4 linked regions of the Rattus norvegicus genome follow. The protein of the gene in region 3 purifies or fractionates together with the protein of the main gene of each other region. This does not show direct contact. Links are inferred from orthologs where the notes say so. Each region holds a gene or a part of one and is shown on either strand. Other genes may lie near its edges.

What was found.
Region 1: the proteins of Smarca5 (region 3) and Hmgxb4 purify together in Homo sapiens (affinity purification with mass spectrometry; 3 studies listed by BioGRID and IntAct, with this or other methods). This does not show direct contact. The link is inferred for Rattus norvegicus from reciprocal best matches to the Homo sapiens genes SMARCA5 and HMGXB4.
Region 2: the proteins of Smarca5 (region 3) and Chrac1 fractionate together in Homo sapiens (co-fractionation; 5 studies listed by BioGRID and IntAct, with this or other methods). This does not show direct contact. The link is inferred for Rattus norvegicus from reciprocal best matches to the Homo sapiens genes SMARCA5 and CHRAC1.
Region 4: the proteins of Smarca5 (region 3) and Cecr2 purify together in Homo sapiens (affinity purification with mass spectrometry; 3 studies listed by BioGRID and IntAct, with this or other methods). This does not show direct contact. The link is inferred for Rattus norvegicus from reciprocal best matches to the Homo sapiens genes SMARCA5 and CECR2.

Annotation. Positions count from the first base shown.
Region 1 is NC_086037.1:13,369,135-13,373,363, reverse strand, and holds the start of Hmgxb4 (HMG domain-containing protein 4), read right to left. Parts: upstream 2,806-4,229; 5' UTR 2,741-2,805; intron 2,223-2,740; exon of another isoform or gene 1-2,222. UniProt on the Homo sapiens protein: Negatively regulates Wnt/beta-catenin signaling during development.
Region 2 is NC_086025.1:106,900,688-106,904,857, reverse strand, and holds the start of Chrac1 (chromatin accessibility complex protein 1), read right to left. Parts: upstream 2,806-4,170; 5' UTR 2,794-2,805; coding exon 2,647-2,793; exon of another isoform or gene 2,216-2,646; intron 637-2,215; coding exon 510-636; intron 1-509. UniProt on the Homo sapiens protein: Forms a complex with DNA polymerase epsilon subunit POLE3 and binds naked DNA, which is then incorporated into chromatin, aided by the nucleosome remodeling activity of ISWI/SNF2H and ACF1.
Region 3 is NC_086037.1:44,174,831-44,179,139, forward strand, and holds the start of Smarca5 (SWI/SNF-related matrix-associated actin-dependent regulator of chromatin subfamily A member 5), read left to right. Parts: upstream 1-1,509; coding exon 1,510-1,515; intron 1,516-3,860; coding exon 3,861-3,935; intron 3,936-4,309. UniProt on the Homo sapiens protein: ATPase that possesses intrinsic ATP-dependent nucleosome-remodeling activity.
Region 4 is NC_086022.1:155,561,597-155,565,593, reverse strand, and holds the start of Cecr2 (cat eye syndrome critical region protein 2), read right to left. Parts: upstream 2,806-3,997; coding exon 2,680-2,805; intron 1-2,679. UniProt on the Homo sapiens protein: Regulatory subunit of the ATP-dependent CERF-1 and CERF-5 ISWI chromatin remodeling complexes, which form ordered nucleosome arrays on chromatin and facilitate access to DNA during DNA-templated processes such as DNA replication, transcription, and repair.

The DNA of each region.
Region 1 (4,229 bases), about 31 Mb from region 3:
TCAAGGCCAGCCTGATTGACATAATGAATTCCAGGACTATTTAGAGAGAATCTCTCAAACAAAACAAGGGCAATATTCTCACTAGTTCAAAAACGATGAGTTTATTAGAAAGCCATACAGGTCCCCTTGGCTTTCACAGGCTGATACTAGGTAAAACAATTTTAGACTGAAGTTTCAGGCTTTTCATGCCAGATGAATTTTGGCATAGAATTCTTGAGAAATAATGCCCTCTTCCTTCCCAGTCCAACAACATCCATATTTAGTCTCATGATACAGCCACTAAAAGTGTATTGGTCAAACACCAATACACTTTTAAACGTAAGTAAAGGCAGGCTCAGAGACTCATAAACAGGTTTTCCTCCTTGAGAACATTAAAACTGATGAGACAGAATTAATCAGTATCTTACTGGTGTGGGAGCTGACTGAACTTTTTACTAGGTATGAAAAGTTATTTCCTGACTGCTGTGAAAAACTAGTAGATTTTTAAAAATGGTTTGGAAAAGTAAAATCAGGGAATGTTCCTTAAGGCAGGTCAACACAGATGTGCAGGCTTTTTGTATTAGGGTCATACCTGCTACTACTGGAACTTTCTCAAAACAAAGACCAGATGCTCATGGGAAGAGTGAGTGAGCCCTGAACACAAGTCCAGGTCACCAATATGTAGGGAAGTCCAGAAACCGAGAACTACTATGGACTAGTCACAGGCCGGGCAGATTGGCGGGCCCTGAATGGTGGCTCAGGGTTCCATGGTAGCTGACTCATAAGACAGTACCAGGGGAAAAAGGTCTCAAGCAGCAGTGTGAAAGAAAGCAGAGTTCAGGAACATTTATACAAGATTAGATAAACACCAATTAAATTGAGGACTCCGGGGTAGGAAGTAAACTGGGAGGGTTAATGAAGATGAAAAATTTAGGTTTGATTTTCACATCAGAAAACTACATCAAATGTTGGCAACATAAAACAGGCGCCAAAATCCATTCTCTCGAATTCCATAATTTTGGAGTTTACAAAATTCAATGTTGTCAACTTCTTGGATCAGGATAATCTTACAGTTAGTGTTTGTCTTGGTGTGCAAAGACATGACAGCATAGAAAAGCTCATTCATTGTTTAATACTGTTTACGTCATTATATATAGAAAGCGAATGCTTAGAAAACGTGAACACGGTGGCTGGGCTCTTCCAAGGCTTTTCTTCAGGGTATGGGAAAGGAGAAGCAGGCTCTTAATTCCACTTGACAGTAAAACTGCAGGTCAACCTTCAGCACAGGCTTTTGGGATAACCAAGTAATTATGAAAAAAGTTAAAATCTTCAAAGGTAGAATTTTGTTATTTTGGAAATTCAAAGTGTTAACTATAAAAAAAAAGTTTCAGAAAATGAGTTTTTTGGAGGTAATCTCTATTCCAGCAATCGCTAACAGTATCATCATCATCATCATCATCCCAGAACAGATTGGAGAATTGAGAAAGAAAATCCACCTAGTAAACTGGGCAAGGAAGGTCTCTGTCCTCCAGATGGGGGTTTCCCCCAAGGCTGTTTCTAGGAACTCAGATTGCCAGTCCACGCAGTCAAAGGAAGAAACACTTCCAGATGTCCACAGATTCTGATATTTTGTTGCTACTTCTACCGTAGCACAGGTGAATTCTTGTTTCAGTGGGTTTCCTTCCTTATCCGATCTCCTGGAGTTCTTCTCGCCACACCCTTTTCCAAGGACCTACCTAAGCAGCACTCCAGCCCCTGCCAGCTTCGGAACTTGCAGAGATCTCTACAGCCAGAAACGCGCACTGAATCTTCTCGTTGCAATGCTAATAAGTGTAATCACGACCACAGCACAGATTGGCTAATAACACACTCGGTTCCACGAAACCTGCGATCCAAATTTTGACAAGCCATGCGTAATCAACAGGCTTTACTTTGGATGCAGTTTTTAAAAAAATTTATTTTGCTACAAGGGAATAGAATCAGCCAGTACTAGAAACAAGGGTAGGGTGGGCGGTAGACATATCTTGTCTGATGTATGATATAAACTAAAGTGAATCTACAAGTAGTGGTTGTGGAGGGGGAAATGGGCCTGTATGGAGATGACTCCACTTAAGACATGTTCAAACTGAGTCGCACGCAAAGAACACACACAATACGAGATTGTTTATCCACACAGTCCCCAAGACCACCGTTCCCGGGGTCCCCGATTTGTTAACCTCGGCAGGTCTGCTGCAACCGCTAGTTCAACAAAGCTCTGCGCAGCTCAGGGAGCTCCGCGCATCCTCTCCCGCTCGCCGCGCGCCCAGCCCTCCCGCCCGTCGGCCCGGGACCTCTCCTCCTGACAGCCCCAGGTAACCCGCGCCTGGGGTCCCCAGCCGCGCTCCTCCCGACCCGAGTTCCCGCGTCCCGTCGGCCTCCGGCGCCCCGGAGCGCACAGACGGCGGCGCAGGGGGAGGGGCGGCGCGGGCCGCGGGTCCCTGGGGCGGCCGCACGCCCCCTCCCGGCCCCGCAGCTTTCCCGCCTTCCCGGTTTGAACAGCTCCCGCCGCCTTCCTCCTGCGGCCCGCTCCAGCCCCTTCCCCGGGGCGGCTGCGGCCGCTACTCCAGTTCCCGGCTTGGCCCCTGAGCTAGGCCGCGGCGGGCCTGAAGAGCCTCCGGGACGGTGTCGGGGGGCCGGAGCGGTGGGCGGAGGCCGGGCAGGGCCGTTGCCGCCCCGGGGTGGGGGTCCGGCTGGGTCTGGTGGGGGCTCCGCTCGCCGCTACCTTCACTCGGCTCGCTCGGATCCCGCCTCAGCGCCGCCGACCGCCGCCATCTTGGAGAAGGAGAGAAAAGCGCGAGCAACCAGGGAGCCTCAGTCGAGCCCAGAGCGCAGACTCCTACCGCGGTGCTACGGCGCCAGCGAAAGAGCGTCGAGCGCATCGAATAGCTTGCTGAGCGCGGTCGCGGTACCTTTTGAGGATACACCACTCCTTGCCAGGTTTAGTCTAAAAATCTCTTCTCGACCTAAACAAATAATTGCCCAAGTTTTCTGACTATTCCTGAATTAAAAAAAAAATCCTTTCTGCAAAGAAATCGCAAATAAAAAATGTCAGGCAAGCAGATTAATGTAGCCAAACACCTGCCCCAACCCAGAGTCTTCACAGGTCCGTGAACTATGCAATTAGAACAGAAGTTCTGAAACTGTGGAACTTCACTTTGGATTTTACACGTTCACTGTCAACTACATTTTTATGTACTTATCTACCACGTACACATACAAGCCCGGAAAACTCCATGGAAAACTTAGAATTAGAAAAACAATTAGCTTTGTATTCTCTTTTACGAACTCATGGGTCCTTCTCTGCATTCTCTGTTCTTTCTGGTCACCTAATAGTAGCCCTTCTTGTTCTCTTTTTACCCCTAAGTCTTCAGTATTTAAGGCAGAATATTATGATGTGTATTTCAAGACAGTCTGTTCTTTGCTGGATTCAGAGTGATGAGGATTAATAGCAGTGTGTATTTGTAATTTAGCATCTACATCTGGATAGCATCCCCGGTGAGGTGGAAGATACGCTGTTTTCTCACCAAATCACTACATTTCTATTGCTCACACACATTTTTGTTTAAGTGTTAAGAGGACTGGCGAATTGGTTCAGTGGGTTAAAGTATTTTACACCAAACCTCTGGGTATGTGTTTGACACCGGAAGCCTACATGGTGGAAAGAGAGAACTGATTCATACAAGTTTGACTGCCACAGGAATGCCCCCCTACAAACACACAAAAAAGAAATAAATAAAAGTTACTCTTTCTCTAAGAAACAGGAGGAAACACAGTTTCTTCTGGTTTGCTGAGGAGAACTTAGACCAGTAAGCATTTGCAATGTCCTGAGCCTGGTTTAATATAAAGACCCTGTTCTTGTAGCCTAGTGTAAGTATATAATAGCCTTCCATGTGAACAGTGCACACTCGATCAGAGCAACCAGAAGCTGGTCCCTTGTTACTAAAAGACCCAGCCTTCATCTGTACTGCTAACAGCACTGCTATAGGGAGGAAGTTCTTTTTTTTTTTTTTTGCTTTGTCAAAGTCACAGGACTTAGGTGTTTTGGGGAAGTATTGTGGATGGAGGAAGGGGCAACCCTGGCTGTCCTGGAGCTCATTATGTAGACAAGGCTTGTCTGAAACTCACAGAAATCCTCCTGCCTCTGCCTCCTGAATGCTGAGATTAGAAGCGTGAACTATTAATTTCTTTATTTATTATATATGAGCACACTG
Region 2 (4,170 bases), on a different chromosome or scaffold from region 3:
TGGTAAACTATGACTACAATGATTCAAGTTTTACAATGTATTATTTCCACCTTTAACCCTAGACAACCTTCTAAACAAGATGAAATCCAGGTGTGCTTCTAGGTGAAGAATAACAGAAATGGGCATTGTTTCCTGGGCATTCCACACTGGTAAACATGTTTCTATGGCCTGATTTTGTGAACACTGTTCAAGCTAGCTGAGAGGCTAAACTGGCCCCTGGGCTAGACTGAAGCTCTTTCTAGTCAGAGTCTGACCCATGGCTGCATGCACCCGCTGCTTTGTTTGGCGTGCAGGGGAACAGGACAAGCAGCCAGCTCTCAGTGAGTCTGCTTGGCCATGGATGCACCTTCTGTGTACTGTTGGCTTCTTGGTGGGCTCAAATGGAGGCTGGTAACAACTCCCTGTGCCAGATCAGATAAACCGAGGCACCGAGCAGAACAATAGAGGGGAGAATAGCCCACTACAAGGGTTCTTTGTTTTTTAACCAGAATGTCCCAAAGATTAAGTACCTGCGAGAAACTGAAGTGTCTCTGAATCCTCGGCAGCGCTGGCTAAGTCACTGTATGTCAGCGCTTTCTTGGCTTTGCCACTGCCGTGTCTGTAGGAACAGGTGGCTAGATACTGAACAAAGAGCTCCTAAACCAACAAGAAATCACACAGTTTACAACCTTAAAATTCCATTAATACTTCACATTATCTTGGTTCCTCAATTAAATGACAGGGAATTAATTTACAGGAGACAGAAACATGAAATCAGAAAGGAAGCAAGAGTGTCAGTCAGGAAGCAGCAGGCATTTCCCAGCTGAGCTGAAGTGTATAATATAAATATTTACAAATGACTGTAAAAATATGAAAAATATTTTACAAGTGGTTTTGGGGGGTGCTGTGGTATATACTTATCAGCATTTAGGCAGAGGTAGGAGGCACAGGAAATCAAAGGCAGCTCTGGCTATATATCAAGTTCAAGGCCAGCCTGGGCTACACGAGCTGTTGTCTGAAAAGGATGGGGGAGGGGTTATAAGGAGGTGTTACCAGCCTACACAAAACGGAGTAAAAGACCATTCAAAAACGTTATCTGAGCATGGTGGCACATACCTTTAATCCCAGCACTTGAGGGGCAGTGGCAGACCTATCTCTGTGTTCAAGGCTAACCTAGTCTACAGAGTGCCAGGACACTCAGAGCTACACAGAGAAACCATGTCTCCATAAAAGGAAAACCAACCAACCAAATTATATCTGGCTTGCAAAGGATTTTATTACAGATGTGAGCTGCCACCTATCTGTCTTAGGAACACATTTTCAGCCTACTTGAATCCCTTGTCAGTTGTTCACTCACAACTATAATAAAAACCAACAACCTCAGGCTGAAAGGTGACATCTCATTTTGCCCAAGTACCTTCTAGGTGTGGAACTAACGAGATCCCAATGCTCAGAAAGTAAAACTGAGCCTTCCCCAAGGTTTAGTATTATTTCAGCTAATAAGTGATCAGAGAACTGTCTGCATAGTGCTTAGGTCCTAACACTAGAATCCTACAAAAGAATGTGAATCCCAGCACCACACAAATAATCCTGATCCCATGATCCTGAGATGACTTAGAAATGAGACATGTACAGTTTACGTGTAAATATGCACCACTGTCTAAAAGGGGCTGTTATCCTAACATTGTATTTGGCTTTGGAGGACCAATGCAAGGAAACTGGGGAACTGTATTTTGTCAGGCTCTAACTTAAGGTTGACAGTTGTAGTCACAAGATTTGTATTTCTTTTGTAGTATTTTACAATATTACAATTTTACAATATTATAAAATATTGTAAAAGATACTACGCACTGATGTTCTAGAAGCAGAGACTGGAAAAGAATGTAGAGACAGTAATCATGTCGGGTCTCAGAACAGTAAGGTTCTCGGTCTACCACAAACAAGACCAAACTTTAAACCAGGAGTGGTGTCAGGAAATTCTCATCCCAGTACTCAGAAGGGCCAAGACCAGGGTAGCAGAGTATGGTTCCAGCAGCACTTGGTAGGCTGAGGCAAGCAGATTGAGTTTGAGGTAATCCTGGCCTACAGGGTTCCAAGGTAAGGAGAAATACTGAGAGCTGACTTGAAATATAAAAATAAGGAAACAAAGTGATGTGTTTGGAGGGGGGTGTGCAGTTATAATTTGTCTCTAGAGTCTAACTTGTGACCAGCGGTTGTCTGCTTAAAACCTGACTACCTCCAGAGTCCTGAGGGCTGAAGAGCCCTAGACATCCTTGCAAGCTGTCCTGGATGCTTCGAGAACCCTCGCATCACTCTGCGGGAAGTCAGCGACAGAAAAGAAGTAGACAGTACGCCCTCCTCACTGGTCAACTCGCGCAGCCGCACTTAGCTCCTCACGCGTGCGAAGCAGGGCGGGAGTGACGCGGTAGGCGGAACGCAGAGAACGCTGGGAGCGAAGTGATGCAGAGCAAAAGCAGCGCAAAGGACAGCGGGAGCGGCGCAGTGGGCGGAGCTAAGACCACGGGAGAGTGGGTGTGTAATGCGCAGGCGCAGGGAGAGACCAAGACTCCCGGCTCCCGCAGGGCAACCAAAGGCTAGGAGTGTGCGGAGCCCAAGGGGCGGTTGGTGCCCGTGCCCGCCCCTCTCGTCGCCCCGCTGGCCGCTCACCGTGGCCTTGGCCGTGAGCACTAGTGCCTCCTGGTTGATGCTCGACACCTCAGGAGAGCTCTTCATGATGACTCGGATGCGGGACAGGGGCAGCGACACGAGCCGCTGTTCCCCGCACTTGTCCTTACCCACGACCGAGTCCGCCATCTTCCGCGTCCGGGCGGCCCGTGATGCCCCGCGCGGCCGCGCCTGCGCAGACTCCGTGTAGCGCGGTGGCCTGAAAGCCTGGGAGACAGCGCCCAGGAAAAACCCCTCGGAAACGCTGCGGCAATCTCCCGGAAGAAGCGCTTTCAAGCGTCTTAGTACTTCGGGAAGACCCGAGCTGCACAGACCTGCCCTTTCAAAAGCTGAAAAAAATAAAAGAAATGTCTTATGAGGTCATGTTCTGGAGGGAGCCAGCAAGCATGAGCCACACTCTTATTGTCAAACAGTTTGGCCAGGGGAATAGGGAGAAAAGGCAACCCTACCCATGTCTTGAAGCTTATGGGGATTAACCTCTTAAGCAGGCAGGTGAACTAAATGGTCCTTGAGTCTTCTGTAGTCCCACCACAAAACCAAAAGAATCACCAAGAGTTCTAGGCCAGTTTAGCCCCACAAGCTCTTGTTGAAGAAGATGGACCGTGTCTTAAGGAATAGAATGCAGAGACAAGGTAGAATGAAGACGATTAGAAACATCCTATCAAGTAGTGGTCCAGAGGGCAGTGTCGAAGAATATCAGAAAGTGGGACACCATGGCAGATGACACTACCAGACTGAAATTCTACCTACATGAAATTCGTGGAGTGAACTTGGGAAAATAAAGTTAATGCAGTCTGAAGAGGTCAAAAACTCGTAAATTGGCACTAAATATAGTTGGAGGCTGGCAGAATGTTAGAGGTTGGATCACATTTGGTTTCAGCTTTCTTTACCATAGTGTATCCTAGTCCAATAATAAAATACAACTGTCCCCCGGTATCTATGGGGGATTGGTTCTAAGATCCCCACACATACTGAAATTGTACATGCTTAAGTGTTTTAAATGCATAAGGTAGCTGCATAGAGCCTAGGCACATTCTCATATAAGGCCTACATCTGGGTACCCTTGATAAGTACTTTGTGAATGCCATCTGAATAGTTGCTGGACTGTTAGGGAACAGTGATAAGAGATTTCTACATGTCCAATCAGCAGGGACGATTTCTCTTCCTGGATACTTTGTATCTCAGGTTGGTTAAGACCATAGATGTAGAACGCATGCTCAGTGTTAGTGTCAGGCTTAAAGAGGCACAGTCAGTGAGCAAGGTAGCCATGCTGCCTGCCTTCAAGACTATGTTCACCCAGATGTACTGAGAAAGAATATCATTTCCAATGGGAAGTGTCATCCTGTGTGATAGGCTGGCCTCTGAAAAGTGGTATTTGTTCTCAGATCTGAAGCAAAGGAAAGCCACTAGAACAAGATGAGTTTTGTCTGTCTCTTACTTGCTACCTGTCACACAAGTGAGGCAGACAAGAAAAGGTCTGTTTTAGGAAGCTGGGGTGCCACTAAC
Region 3 (4,309 bases):
AACATTTAAACTTATATATGAATATTATCTATTCCAAGAAGTTTGAAATTAGGTCTGGAAAAGAGTTTTATTCAATATAGGTGGGGACGAAATAACGAGCGGGATTAAGATGACAAATATCTTTTGTGCATGGGAGTAGGTGTTTAGATTCTGTAGGATAGGACGAAAGACCTCAGTAGCTTCCATGACAGCCTGAGGCAGGATAAAGAAGCAACAAGAACAACGAACACTTTTCTCTTTGTAGCCCTGGCTGATCTGGAACTCGCTCTGTAGATCAGGCGGCCTTGAACTCAGAGATCTGCTTGCCTTTGCCTCCCCAGTGCTGGGATTAAAGGCGTGCATCACCACGCCTAGTAAACACTTCTGGAGACAAACGTGCATTTTTGTTTGATGTAAAAAACACGCTCTCATTTGTCTTCATCTGTTGCCATTCGTGTTCTCACAGGGCAGCGCGTCTTCTGGCCTAACCTGAAGTTCACAAACGCCGAGATAGACCGAACTCTCTAAGGGGAGCTGACCGATGCAGCGAACACAGAGTTTAATTCTGAGGAGATTTTTCTTCTCAGGCGTCCAACGTCACTTAACGTCACGCTAGTGAGCGAAGGCGGTAGGACGACGAAGGCCAGCCCAGGCCTCTGCTCCACGCCTAACAGTCGCCAGGCAGTCGCGCCGTTCCCAAGCGGGCCTCTCTAGCCGGCGGGAGACAGCGAGCGGAGCCGTTACGGGAGCGCCGAAGAGCCAGCTCGCGTCACACGAAGGAGCGAACGCGCAAACCTCCGCCGACGCGCCTCCTCGAGGCCCCGCCCACTCGCCTTCCACAACCCGCTGGCGGCCCGGAGGAGGCGGAGTCTAGGAGGAACAGGCGCATGCGCCCTCGCAACCCGGCCCTCGAAGGGGGAACTAGCGATCTCGCGAGGGTTGAGAGCGGGTGGCGTAGGTCGCTGTCTGGTTGGTTGGAGAAGATAATCTACTCCGGTAGAGGAGAAGGCGCCGGGAGACCTCTGAGTACCTTTCGCTTTCCTTTCCCTTTCCCTCGGCCCTCCGCCTCCTCACAGTCAGCCCGCCCTCCCTGACCTCCTTGACCCCGCTGGCCCCGCCCACCCTCGTCGACGTGATTCCCGCCGTGAGGTAAACGCCAGTGGAGCGGAGTCCCGCGGAAGAGGAGGACTAGGCGAGCGTCGCGGCTGGGCCGGCTCTGGTCGGTGGCGGAGCCCCTGCGCGTGAGAGCTTCCGGGCGGGTCTCGCTCCTCCGGCGGCCCGGACGCTAGAGCCGCGCAGGCCCAGGCCGCTTTCCTCGGCGCCGCGCCTGCCCGTGGCCGCGGCGGGTGACGCAGCCGGAACATGTCGTCCACGGCTGAGCCTCCGCCGCCCCCGCCTCCCGAGAGCGCGCCTTCCAAGCCCTCGGCGGCGGGCGCCGGCGGGAGCAGCAGCGGCAACAAAGGCGGCCCGGAGGGCGGCGCGGCGCCGGCGGCTCCGAGCGCCACAGGCGCGGGTCCCGCGGACACCGAGATGGAGGTGAGCGCGGCCGGGGCGTGGGGTAGGGAGATGGATGCTCTGCTGGCGCGTCTCCCGCACTTCACCTTTACGTTTTCCCCCTCGGTGTAGCTAGCCTAGCCAGATCGCGGATCGCTCTTACGAAACACATGTTCCTGATTACTGTGGCCGAAGGGACCCGTTTCCTCTATCGCTAGGCTCCCCCAGAACTCGCTCGGGTTCCTCCGATTTAGGTTTTAGTTTGCACTAAACTTTGAGGAGGGCGAGGGAAATGCCCCTCCGGAGTGGGATTCCCGGGGCGAGGGCGACGTTTCCCAGCGTCGCAGCTGAGGACTTGCGCCTCCAGTGCCTCATCCCGTGCTGGCGGGGGCGGCATCAGTCTGTTCTGGGCAGAAACAATGGCGAGAACTGGAGGGCCGAATGCGCAGTGGGGATAAGCGGGGCGCAGCTGCTTCTGTGCAGCGAGGGGAGGCCCCTCCTGGGCCCTGCTCCACTGGGAGGAGAGCGAGCATGACAGCCGCAGCACCTGTCTTGGTTCCCCATCCAATTAGGGGTGTATGCGTGGAAAACTGAATGAATGGGAGCATCGGGGGAGGGTGATGGGCTCCTAGCCCAGTACGTTGCTTCCTTTTGAAGCCATTTGGAGGAATCGCTGTTGAACCACCTTCTCAGGGCTCTAGTGGGCCAGATGATGGTGACAATACTGGAGGAAGCAGGGAAAGGGTGGAAAATGGGGGAGCTGCCAGGCAGGTCTCTTGGATATGCTCCCAGGCTTTGAGTTGCCTGGAAACCAAGTTATTGCTCCCAATTTTTATTCTTGGCCTTGGTCTTGTTTTGAGGTGTTATTATTATTTGAGGTTCCAGTCTGAAGATTCCTGGGAATTTAATCCTCAGATTGGAAGTAATACAATAAAAATGAACCTTAGCATAGAATTTACACTCTAAGGAGATGATGGTGCAGTGTGCTTACTTTTATTGGGCAGCTTGGGTGAAATATTGTTAATCTTCGAAACAACTTTTCCTGGGGAAGGTAGGTGCTGGTGTAGTGCACCAATTTGAAGTGAATGCAATTTCAGTTTAAAAATGTATTTGATGCTCCCCCTATGGTTTTAAATGGTTTTTAGAGTTTCTAGGGTTGTTTAACTTGGATTCTTATATTTCTGTTCCATGAAATAAAGGAATCTGGTGGCTCAGGCCTTTTAATCCCAGAACTTGAGGCAGAGGCAGAGGTATCTCGTGAGTTTGAGGCCAGCCTTGTGTACAGAGCTAATTCCAGGACAGCCAGGGCTACACAGAGAAATCCTGTCTCAAAAAACCAAAACAATAAGAATAAACAAGTAGGAACTATGACATAAACAGAAAAGGAGTGAAGAATAAGATTGAGAAAAAATAGAAACTATTGGTATTTCTATACTGAGAAGACCCAGTTTACTCGTCTGGTTAATGGAAATACCACTTATTTGGGCTTTTCACATTTATGTTCATATTTACATTTTAATTGAAAAACAGCAACTCAAGAATTAAAGAATTTCATTGGGGTTTAAATTCTCCTGGTTATTTTATTCCCTCTTAAGACAGTTACCTTCAGACTGCTTTTCATTGTCTTAACTGAATTTAGAATCAGAACTAGGTTTGAGTTGAGTATGTCTAATGTATTTGAGGACCTTAGGTATGTTTTACAGTTGGAAAAAAAGACTGAATTATAGACGTAACATCTGCAGTTGGAAAACACACATTATTATTGTAAGGTGTACTTTTCCTTGAATGTGTGCTACAAGAATTTTTCTATAAGTTAGAGCTGGAGGTTTTGTCATTTTGCTTGTGGCATTTGAATGTCAAGATGCTTTTTAAGAATAGAATATTATTAACTGGGAGTCAGACTAAGGGTATGCTATGTAAGCTCCTTTTTTGGGTAATGTCCTAGATAGTGGAAATTAGGATCTAATGCTTCCTTCTATGTATACATTTGTATAAAATAACACAGTAGATAGATGGAGTTTTATGATATAAAGAGAACTTTGTTCACATTCATGTTACCTAATTTGTATTTATAATTTTATTTGAAAAGATACAGATTTGCCCGTATGGCTTGTATAAAAAGTAATTTTGTTTTAGGGTGTTATTGATACTAATTTTATCATAGCAGATCTTAATACAGTTTATAATTGGGAAAAGTGATTATCCCCATAGTATTTTATTTTCATCCATATTAAGTTTCATTCCAGGTTATCTGATAGCCAGTAAATATCTAGGGAGTTTGGAGCAAGAGTATATTATTTAGAATGATTTTTTTTTTTGAAAGAAATGAGTGTATGATAGTGAGTAGACAATCCTTAAACAATTTGATGAATTTCCTTTCCTACCAGGAAGTATTTGATGATGGATCACCTGGAAAGCAAAAAGAAATCCAAGAACCTGATCCTACATATGAAGAAAAAATGGTATGTTCTAGACATGTGAATGGTTTTAATGAACTTTTTTCTCAGGATAATTAAATCTACTAAACATCTGTATTTACTTAGATGCTTTTAGAATGTCAACAAAACAGCTTTTTTTTTTTTGTAATTATAGAGTGGTATTCTGTTGACAGAACAATTATCCTTGTATAAGCTGCAACAGAGACAAAACTGAAAACCCAAAAAACTACCAGTCCACATATATAACTAATTTGTGCTATGTATCAGATACAAGAGCCTGTTTTAAATTTCCATGCCACTTTATAATCCCCAGGCTGTTCCAGGCAAGGTTAGTGGCTATTGAAAACACTACAGGACAAGGCTGTCTAAAGACACCTTTGGTAGTGTGGTAACTGTAC
Region 4 (3,997 bases), on a different chromosome or scaffold from region 3:
CTATTTTGTAATCTATAGTCCTCATTTCTAGCTTTTCAAGTGGAACCAGGGCTACGTGGTCTTTCCATGTGCCTACCAGGTACATACAGCTTGGTACTGGTATATTTTACTTTAAGACAAGGTCTAACACTGTTCTGTAAGACCTAACCCATAAACTAGTTGATGTTTTTCAAATCACATAAGGGGGAAAAAAAACAAATTTACTGATGGCATCTTTGGGGAATTCTACATTGTTGATGGGTCAAAGTCAAATTTCTTAGAGAATTAGAATTCTAGATATTTTTCATCTTTCAGTAACTACTCAAAACACTAAATAAAATATAGGAAATTCAGGAGGAGAAAATCATTATCATTTGTTACACATTTATTGATCATCTCCATAGCAGAAGGGAGAAAGGGTTGTTAGTATTTAAGGTATGCACATGTTGGAATCAGGATATTAATGTGTTGAATGTTTTTCCAAGTAACAAGCACACTTTAAGTGACAAAGTGCATCTTTCTAGAAACACTTAGGAGAGATGGCTCCCTGTGAAGGAAACTGGTGCTAAGCCTGACCACCCAAGTTTGATTCCTGGGGCTCTCACCACGGAAGGAGAGAACAAATTCCCTCAAATTGTCCTGAGCCTCCACAAGCACTCCCTGACGCATGCACGCCCACACAGCATAATTTTTTCTTAACCACTAGAATTAAAAGACACCATGTCAAGTAGACCTGATTATTCACCCTGTAAAGGACAATAACAGCTTACTTTTAGTAGAGGAATTAGGCCAACAAACACTGAGAACCTGAAGTTTACTACTTAAGGATAGAAATTAGAGGTTAACTTTAAATATGTTGAGTATAATTAAGACAAAATGAGTTTCCTCTACTTTTTATCAACAAAATGGGAATATAAGAACTTGGAAAAGTGACATTTTTTCCAACAATAGCGTTTTCAAATACACTCAATTTGTAATCCACACATCAACTTACTTCCTCTTAAAAGAAAATGGATTGGGACAAGTTTATCAGCACCCAAGATGGCAACTGTCACAAGAAACACCACACACACACACACACACACACACACACACACACACACACACACACACGGCAGCCACCATTTTGAACAGCAGGATTTAATTAAACTACTCGAGATTTCAAACTAACTAAAAGGAAACACAGGACATCAGAATCATTAATCATCTCTTCCCCTTTACGATTCCTGAAATCGTTAATCTTTGTAGTCCGACTTCATTACAAAATTTCATCACAGAAGTGTTCGTTACATTCATATTCAAACTTTGTAAATAAACGATTTGAGGTTGCGTTAAATTGCCAAGTTACATTTTCCTAAACCCTGGAGATGCCCAGGACCTGGAAAATCTTACCAACCTTTTCACATTGTTTTAAAATACCTCCAAAAGTCAACGAACAGCCCCAATCTCAGCCCACATTCCTCTTCATTCTCCTGTCCCAACCCTTGTGATCGTTTTAGTTTTCCAATTTCGTTAACTTTGCAACAAGAGTTAAGTTCCCACGCTTCATTCATAGTAGAAGCAAGTGATATTTCTGCAAACACAACGGACTTAAAAATAAAGGTGAGTAAAGACCTCAGGAGTCAACAAATTAAAATCAAGATTCGTGGGGGTGGAGAGGCAACCACAATGGCCAGAATCCCCAAATAAATTATTTTAATTTTGATTATTTCAGTTGTAAAGGCATCCACAAAACTGAAAACTGTAACTGACCAACAACAGTTCCGTGTACCTTTGTCCCAAGGAAAAAAGGTGGTTAAGTCACTCCACAGACTACCATAAAAGAAAGCAACTCAGCCTGCCAACCAATCATATATTTCACAACTCCTTCCAAATATAAAAGCAGGGATGCTGCTTTGGACCATCTTATACATTCCGTTTCCCACACTCCCGCCACCGTCCTTGTCATTAGGACCCTCCGATTTTAGTCAAGTTATCACAAAGCCTCGGGTCTTGAAAAAGCACCTTCGGCCTGGCCAGAAAGCCATTTCTTTCCTCCTCGCTCGCCCGGGGGAATAATGGTGGCGAAATGAACTGGAAGAGAGAGCTCCCCGAATACGAAAGGCTGCACGTTCCTCAGAAGAGGAGCTGTTTTTAAAAGGGGAGAACCCCAAAACTTTCTCTCCACAGCCTCGGCGTCCCGAGCGACGGTGAGCGACAGTGAGCGACGGGCGGTCCCACAAGGAGAACGCCCCAAGCTCAGGCCCCATCTGCGCCCGCCCGAAGTTGACTCGAAGCGCCCGAGAGTTACGGGCCTCCGCAAGTCGGCCAAGTGCGACCCGGGCGAGCGTCTCCCGAGCAACGCCGCCCCTGCCCAAGGCCGCTCCCGCCCGGCCGCTGTGGCCCCCGGCGCGTGAGCCCGCATCCCGTCCCGGTCCCCGCCTGAGCAGCTGCTCGCCGCCTCCGAGCTCCGGAGGGGAGCGCGCGCGCACTCTCGCCCTCAGGCCGGCCGAGAAGTCCCGGGAGAGCCCTCGGGTCCCGCGCCGACAAAAGCAGGCTCGACCCCCGCCTGCGAGAACGCGCGGGGCGGCGGGGAGCCCGTGCCGGCCGTCAGCCTCGTGCCCGCCGCCGAGCCCCTCGCCGCCGCACTCCGCGCCAAGTCCGCGGCCCGCGACTCCCCGTAGAGAAGCGCGGAGAAAGGGCGCAGCGCCGGCTACTCACCTCGATCTCGAAGTCCGGCAGGCGGAACGCCGTGCGAAAGAGCGAGCAGAAGTGCGCGATGGCCGGGACTTCCCACCAGGAGCGGAGCTCGCCCAGCCCGGCCGCGCCGCCTTCCTCCGGGCACATCTCCCCGCCGCGCTCGCTCGCCCGCCCTCTCGCTCGCTCGCTCGCTCGCTCGGACTCCGGCCGCGGGCAGCGCCTCTCAGCGCGCGGCGGCTCCCGCCGCTCGGCGTGAGCTCAAGCTGAGGCGCGCCGGGCGGGGGGCGGCGGGCCGAGTCGCTGAAGCGGCCGCTGCTCGGGCAGCCGGCGGGGGCTGCGCGCTCGCCCCGTCCCGCCGCGGCCGTGCGGCCGCCCCCAATCCCATACAATATAATCCACTCAGCGCTGAGGAAAACAGATGGGGCTGGGGGTGGGGAGGGGGCCCGGCAGAAGCCTGGGGGAGGGGCCGCCCACGAGGAGGGGGCGGGGCCGGCGCGCACCACAACAACAACCCCGCCCCCACCCCTGCGCGGACAGCTGCACTGAGGAAGGGGGAGGGGGAGCGGGCCGGCCGCGCCCCGGGAGGGGCTGCGCGTGACGCGGAGGGGCCCGCGCGCAGCCCGCGGGCGGGTGGGAGCGGCGCTCTGAGGTGCAGGTGTTTGGGGCCGGGGAGTTGGGCGACTTTGGTGACGGAAGACAATAAGGGTCTCTCCCACCCCCACGTGGCCTCAGTGGTCGAGTCCTTTTAAAGGGCCCGCGGGGTGGTGCTCTCGCTGGGGACTAGCTCCGGGAGTGCGCACGTGTGGGATTTCAGTTATTACTGCCGTGGAGGGCGGTGCAGGAGAGCGAGTGGGCCGTCCACGCTGGGAACCGGAGGCCCGGGGAAACGACGCGCTTTCCACCTGTTCTTTAGCGCTTGTTTTGGTTTTGGTTTGGTTTGGTTTGGTTTTTTTTTTTTAATTCCATCTGAGAACCGTACTTCAGGGAGCGCTAAAGTGCCTCGCCCCTCCAAGGGATGGAGGTGGTGGGGCTGGTTAGGCTGGAACCAAGTAGGATGGAGGGGAGAGTGTGGCGGGAAGGGTGGAGTACGGGGGGAGGCACCAATCAGCAGCCTAGCGGGAAGAGCAATTTCCCCCACCCCAGGGAACGGACACGTGCAGCAGCCCTAGAGGGGACTGGCTTTGAGCCCTGTGACTGCCCTCGCCCGAGCACGGCTGCGGGGCGCGAGTGCTCACAATGTGGCTAGGAGGCTGGGGGGATGGGGCAAGAGCCTGGAGACTCTGGGACGTGTGTCCGGGTGGGGGTGGAGACCTGCCCAGGCTAAGGGAATATGCTCTGA